2 linked regions of the Drosophila melanogaster genome follow. The protein of the gene in region 1 interacts with the protein of each later gene in a pairwise test. Each region holds a gene or a part of one and is shown on either strand. Other genes may lie near its edges. The genes, in order: Pepck2 and aqrs.

What was found.
Region 2: the proteins of Pepck2 (region 1) and aqrs interact in a two-hybrid assay, tested with the Drosophila melanogaster proteins (one large-scale study listed by BioGRID).

The regions. Positions count from the first base shown.
Region 1 is NT_033778.4:18,525,497-18,529,428, forward strand, and holds the start of Pepck2 (phosphoenolpyruvate carboxykinase 2), read left to right. Parts: upstream 1-1,933; 5' UTR 1,934-2,269; coding exon 2,270-2,304; intron 2,305-3,932.
Region 2 is NT_033777.3:28,756,395-28,760,305, forward strand, and holds aqrs (aquarius), read right to left. Parts: upstream 1,841-3,911; coding exon 740-1,840; 3' UTR 605-739; downstream 1-604. Other genes in the region: CG9997 (uncharacterized protein), read right to left, coding at 1-585.

The sequences.
Region 1 (3,932 bases):
ACTGCTGTGAATAGTTTTAGTGGTTGTAAAGTTCTATCGAAGAAGGGAAACCATAAAGCGTCTAATATTTAACTAGTTGTTAAGCGGCACCCCATTGTTCACTTCAGTTAACTGAACAGGATATCTATGAAGATAGTCCTTTCCACATTTCCGATTCGGTTTCCGGCAAAATGGTTATCACACAAATCCCCCAACGTCCCCTCCAACTTTCTCCTATTTCGGTAAGGCAAAGGCAAGTGCAACACTGATATCTGAAAACTGACAACTGAATCAAAACACATGGAATTTCGAAGTACTCAAAGTCAATGCAAAGAACGGACGACAGAACGTTGAAGACAATAAGACAAATATAGAAATATACTTATGATATGGCCCGTCGAGTTTAGAGAGATTTGTAGTCACCGACGTGGTAGATTTCCCCATAGCAGAGCAGGAATTTTTCCATTTATATCTTGTTTTTGGGAGACTTGTATCCATTTTGTACACCGCCAATCAAAAACAGTTCCAATCAAGGATCCGATTAGCCATCAGATTTATATGTACGTTTACACAATTTTAAAGTAAGAGGCCCCATACAGTTAGTTGCCCCTCCCCCACCTTATCAATTAACAAAGTCGAATCCTCGCAATGCAAACGCAACCGAAACCAAATACATAGTACCAAGCCTAATTGTATAGTTTACTTGTTTACGCCACTATATATACGAACATTAAATCTATATATACAGTACATAATAATCTATATACCTAGCTCTACTATAAATATTGTATATCAATTATTGTCGTAGTGCTAATGACCCGGACTCGTGTAAATTTGAATGTATTAAAAAAAAAACAGACACTGCAAGGTGAAGAATACTTATATGAAACATTATTATACCGTACGCAAGAAATTATTATTAATAAAGATATTTCATGATTAGTGCGTTAAGTTGAAGAAGAGCAAAAGGAGCTTATACTGTTCTTATTTCTGGTTTTGGGAGTTCCACTGTACCACAGCTGGCACGTTTAATCCCCGGCAGACGAATCTTCCGATTTTTATGGGTTTCTGAGAGAGGCGAATATTTTGTATTTGGTTTGCTGGCCACTGGTCAAAGCACCTTGGACCGAGAGCTAACAATTCCCGATTAGGCTTATCGCCCAGGGGAAAGTTTCGATTTGTTTTGTTTTGCTTTGGAACCATCTGATTCAAAAAGTCCGGCCCCTTGCCAAAATCAGACTTCGAAGGGCGTCGAAGAAGGAATTGCATTGTATGACCTTCAAAACTTGGTTTTTCGGTTAGTGGTTTTATTGGAAAGCAGCATCGTAAATTGTGCTGGTCTATAAGCTTGATAGACCTAGTAAAACGATATTACTCGTACCCAACTGGAAGCCGCACGATACGGCTAAAATGATAAGAAAAGTGCAGGGTAAGAGAAAATAATTTGCAAAGAGAACCAAAAATTACAAAATATAACATAATAATATTTCCAGTTGAATATTTGTTTCCTAAAATTGTTCATTATTCTTATATAATCTGTATATCATTTTACTTTTTAATGTGTATAGCGGTTGATCAGCGATGGAATAATCGCAGTTGGTGTGATAACAGCGCAGACATTGCAAAATAGGACCCGCCAGACCGGTGTGCTGCCAAAGGGTGGGCGTGTTTTCCGAGTTTCCCAGAGCTTTTCCCAATCACCTGCTGCATATGCAGTGGGCGGCACGTAGCACGAGCCCGAAATGCAACGGCCGCCGAGTGTGGGCTCTTATCTTATCAGAGCGAAAGCAAAACATATAGTCCATATGCTTCAGCGGCAAGAATCGAATCGAATCGGATCGGATGGGATGGGATCGTTCTCATATGAGAGCGAGGGAACGGAGCTGAGACCCAAGCAAAATGCTCGGTGGTCTGCGCACACATGTTACTTGAGCGCAGCGAGTGCCGCATAAAGTCAGTTTGGCTCGTTGTGCCAGAGCAGCAACAAGTGCTCCGCTATATCTCAATCTGAATTTGAATCCAAATCCGAAACATAATCTGTTGCCGCGGCTGTAGCTGAATACGAAGCGCAACAAGTGCGCCAGTGACATCCAGAAGCCAGTGCATTGCAGACGAGGCTGAGATAAATTTAAATTAGGTCCGCAATTTCATCAAATTAACAGCGGAACCCTGTGGCCCAACAAAGCGCAATAAATTAATTAAGACGGAGATAAAATTGCAACTGCATTAGCTGCCAAGAGTATTAGCGGGCGAAATTAGAAAGTGAAAGCCAACACGAACAGGTGACAGAATGCTGCTCAAAGGCGCACAGCTGCTGCGATGCGGGTAAGTCTAATGCGATTCGGATTCGGATACCGTCGGATTGGCGGGATTCCAGGATGGCGAAACCCCAAAGGGGATACTTTAACAGCTTGCAGTCGAGTGGTAAATCCATTAACTTGAGTGCTTAAAACAGGCTAATACCGTGTAGCCTATAGAAAATAAACAAGAAGATATTCCTATTATGAGCTGTTTCTTTCAACAGCTTATCAACTTTAGATATTTTGTTTACAATATTTGACAGTAATTAATCTAATCATTTTTAAGGCACTTCATAAACACAACACTTATCTAAGGGAAATGCTCACACCGCAAAACACCGAACCAATATACCCACCTTTTCTAAATAGAGGGGTATCCCAAATCGCCTAATAGCATTGAGTCGTCTACTTGGATTACACGCCCTAAGGTTAACCCAACTTAGTAGATGCTATTGCCTAGTAACTTACCTGCCTCAACTAAAATGTCATGCTAATAGTATTGAATCGTTCTTATCGCGTGGCGGGAAAATTCCACACTCTGCCAGTCGCAGAGCGTCCGTTACACTTTCATTCATGTAAACAAGTGGCAAAATCAACCCCAACAACACCACCGCCATCAATGTTAATGTCATCTATAAAGCTCCCAAGATCATTGCACTCGTCGCTATATATTCTTAATCTCTCAGTGCCTGTGGTCTGCATGGGTAAGAGATGCGCTCTCGGCAAAAGCTTATGTCTTATGCAAAGTACTATCATTTTGAAGCTAACATACATTGGTCGTCGCAATATTTTTGACGATGATGGAATTAGAATTAATCTTTTAAATACCATTTGTATTTATAAGTTTATATAAAGTGCCTAATTTCTTTAAGTGCATTGGAGCTTAAGCATAGTTCGTTAAATACATATTTCAGTTCCTCGGGGCACAGAAGCGTTTTTACTGCCTACTTTCAGGCGACAGGTGATTGACCAAAGCCACATAAGTTCTTTGTGGGCGCTCTTGTTTATGCAACACTTTTCTCCTTAAAAGATTTTTTCAATGAAAAGCTTGGCGATTGCCGCCGTTTCCTTTGTTTCGGTCTTTATCAGTGCTTCCCGTCTCCACCGCCACCCTCCCACCCACAGGCGGTTTATTATTTTTGCAGTTTTGTTTTGACTCATTTTCTCAGTGTGAGAGGGCTTGTGTTTGTGTGTGTGCGATCGCTGGCAAGTTGTCCAACTGGCTCTGCCTCTCTTTTGTGTATGTGTGACGCCATTAGGCGGGCAAAATAAAAACAAAGCGCTGCATGTATGGGTTTTTGAGGCCGCCTAGCAACAATGTCTCGAAGTTATCGCCGCCTGTTGACTGTTTTTACTTTTGGCTTCTGTTTTGATGGGGTGGCGTGTTTTTGTAGCCTCTTTTTGGCAATAAACCCACCCACTTACAGGCCAAGTGCAGCAAGTAACACTAAACTATAACATTTGCGTATGGGCCGGAGGTATCCGAGAGATACTTCTTTGTTCCATGGAACTGCCATTGATGATAACCTTTAGATACAGCGGCGTCGGTGAAGTGACAACACCAAATGAATAATATTATTGTTGACGACGCGAGCCACTGAATCTATTTTTCAGGCCGAGCCTCCGTTTGCGAATTTGCCATAGCAAATAGCA
Region 2 (3,911 bases), on another chromosome or scaffold:
CTTTGGGGACTTGGTTAGTTGAATAGCAACCAGCATGGGATCCGCTCCTTTAAGGTAGGTCTGGTTGAGAGCGACTCTTTTCCCTTCGAGGACTTCGTCATCGTACATCTTCATCGTGACCACTTCACTGCTGGCCAAATTAAAACAAGTGCTAGTGGTAATCACTAGCATCTCGGATATCACCGTGCCCATGCAGATATATTTGTTTTGCTGATAGAGTCTCACCATCAGCTCGTGCAGCGGCACCTTCTTGTCCGAATTGGTCAAGGTAACTACAGGCTCCTTGGAATGTCCATACTGTACTGTGTCATTATTCGGATTATTTGGATTATTGAGATTATTGGGATTATCGGGACTATCGGAATTATTTGGATTATTGGGATTATTTGGATTATTGGGATCGATAGCCATTTCGTGATCGCTCCTTACAGTACGGCGTCGTTTGTAGTTCATTTGGGTTTTTCGATTGTGCTGCGGCTTATAGGTGTCCAGCATATAGCGATGGAGATGAGTGTTCGAGGATTCCGACTCGTTCGCCAGGAAAGCGAGCAAAAGGATCTGAATAATGCACAGTGGTCGCAGCATCGTTACTCAATAAGTCTCTGGTACTAAGCATATCTTATTATTGACTTGACCATAGTGCTTACAAAATCAATTTGTGACGCCTTATAATTTGACATTTACACTAATTGCAACCATAACATAATATTTTTTTACACTGATTAAAATTTGAATAAAACTAATAATAATCGAGAACGCTTTCAACATGATTCTCAATGGAATTCTTGACTTCCCGATCTGGTCCTCCATTAAGAGGATCATCGAATGCTAATTCCTCTGGGGGACCACCAACATAAACATTGGGCGACTTCTTCACTATGGCCTCAAGCAGGGGTGACAATGTAGTTGGATACGATTCATTGTATGGACCCGATCCAGTGAAAGCCCTCAGGGCATCCGTGGCCGTCTGGATGAAGGGTATGACCGGCCTAATGGGTAGGTATATGTCCATGTTGGTGGAGTCGTCATCCTCGTCGCAGTGCTCTCCATATATATTAATGGCCGCCAGTTTGTTGTCAATCAGTAAGGGATCACCAGGCCGGGTGCTGCATGTGGTCTTCTTCGAGTGTCGCTTGTTTCGTACGCAGATAAAGTCCGGCTCAAAGGTGGAAACATGGAATACCTCCTTTAGGCCGTAGTGGATTTTGCAGCGATCTATGTCCATAACCCGCGTGTTGTACAGTCTGATCTGGAACTTGGGTGGACCATAGTAGGCCATCTTTACGTCATCCCCCGCCTGTGGCTTCTTACGATGCAGGGGAATATATCGGTATTTGTCTCTGTCGAGCTTGTTAGAGAGGGCGAGCAGAGCCACGTAGTTGGTAAAGCGTTCATTCTTATTAACCGGCATGAAAAATCCGATCACCTGATGTGGTTCCGGATTGTCGTCCAATTCCACGCCAGTCAATATGGACAGATGTTTGGCCGTGTACTCGTATATCAAATCGAATCTCCGCGGCTGGAAGCAGTGCGTCGAGGTCACGACCATTCTGCGGGAGATTAGCGCCCCCGCACAGATGACGGATCCCTCGTTCAACACGTTTACGTAGTATGTCAAGTCCCGCGTAGCATCGAAAGGAAGTCGCTTTTGGACCTCCACCGGCTTCGGTTTGTCCCGTTCCTCGAGAGCTTCTCGATTGTAATCCACGTGGTCCTTGGTTCTGTGGGCTCGATTGTAGTAAGTGGGTCGGTGGTAGTTCTCCGAGTACTTTTTTATCCACAGGGAGGCACTGTAGTCCATCCCAAGGATGGACAAAATGCATGTGAATAGGAGTCGCATGTCGAAAAGGAACTGGCACTTTAATCAGATTCCAGCACGCCGAACGAGATTTAGTTAGCTAACTTAATTAGTTTCACTTTGAGTAAAAGAAAATTAAGTCACTCAGTGTTCACACATGAACACGAATATATTTAAAGACTTACAATTTTGGGCTCCGTTCATATCTTATGTAAATGAATCGAGAGCGATAAATTATATTTAGGATTTTGTTATCTAAGGCGACATGGGTGCATTGCTCAAAAACATGTAATTTAAGTGCACACTACATGAGTCAGTCACTTGAGATCGTTCCCCGCCTCCTAAAATAGTCCCTTAGTGGGAGACCACAGATAAGGTCCTCGCCGCTCAAGATAGGCAGATGTGCCCGAGCGTGGGACCTCGATAAGGCGGGGACTATTTACGTAGGCCTCTGCGTAGGCCATTTACTTTAAGATGCGATTCTCATGTCACCTATTTAAACCGAAGATATTTCCAAATAAAATCAGTTTCTTACAAAAACTCAACGAGTAAAGTCTTCTCATTTGGGACTTTACATTTGGTCCTTCGAGCCGGATTTGAACCAGCGATATGAGAATAAAAGAAACATATTCTCAGATCATATGAATAGGCTTATGGATATGCCAAATTTAAATTTAGAATCCAATAAGCAAATAAAGACATTTATTGACACGATTAACGAGTCAATTTATATTATAAAATTAAAGGCACAATTACCAGAAGATGTGGATGCAATTTTCGCTCACATAATTCTTCGGAAATTCAATAAAGAATCACTCAATTTATATGAAAGCCATGTTAAAAAGACAAAAGAAATACAGGCACTTTCTGATGTCATGGACTTTTTAGAGCAAAGGCTCAATTCTATATCATCATTCTCACAGGAAGTAAAACCTGTAAAGAAAATGATTAATAATAACAAGAATAGAAATTATAGTGACAATTGTGCATATTGCAAACTACCAGGGCATTATTTAATTCAATGCCATAAATTTAAAATAATGAATCCAGCAGAACGGTCTGACTGGGTAAGAAAAAATGGGATTTGCCTAAGATGTCTGAGGCATCCGTTTGGTAAAAAATGTATAAGCGAGCAGCTTTGTTCGACTTGTCGTAAACCTCACCACACGTTACTTCACTTTGCAGGTCATAATCCAGAAAAAGTGAATACGTGTAGAACAACAGGTCAAGCCTTGTTGGCCACGGCCTTGATTCAAGTAAAGTCGAGGTATGGAGGCTTTGAACAATTAAGAGCATTGATTGATAGTGGCTCTCAAAGCACAATTATTTCAGAAGAGTCTGCACAGATTCTAAAATTGAAAAAATTTCGGTCTCATACTGAAATAAGTGGAGTATCTTCCACAGGAACGTGCATCTCCAAGCACAAAGCGGTTATTTCGATAAGAAATTCTCCGAAAAATTTAGAAATTGAAGCAATTATTCTCCCAAAACTTATGAAGGCACTTCCAGTCAACACGATTAATGTTGATCAGAAAAAATGGAAGAACTTTAAATTAGCCGACCCCGATTTTAATAAACCGGGTCGCATTGATTTAATCATTGGAGCAGACGTATATACTCACATTCTGCAAAATGGAGTTATAAAAATAGACGGTCTCCTTGGGCAAAAAACTGATTTCGGGTGGATAGTTTCTGGATGTAAAAAATCCAAAGGAAAAGAAACCATTGTAGCCACAACAATAGAAATAAAAGAGTTAGATCGCTACTGGGAAGTGGAAGAAGAAGAAAAAGATGATATCGAGTCTGAAATCTGTGAAAATAAATTTATCAAAACGACAAAAAAAGATTCAGATGGGCGATACATTGTGTCAATTCCATTCAAGGAGGATGTCACCTTAGGAGATTCAAAGAAACAAGCGATAGCTCGTTACATGAATCTGGAGAAAAAACTAAAAAGAAATGAAAAACTTAAGGTTGACTACACTAAATTCATGAATGAATACATGGATTTAGGACACATGATTGAAGTGAGTGATGAAGGCAAATATTTTTTACCGCACCAGGCAGTGATTAGAGATTCAAGCCTTACGACCAAATTGAGAGTAGTTTTTGA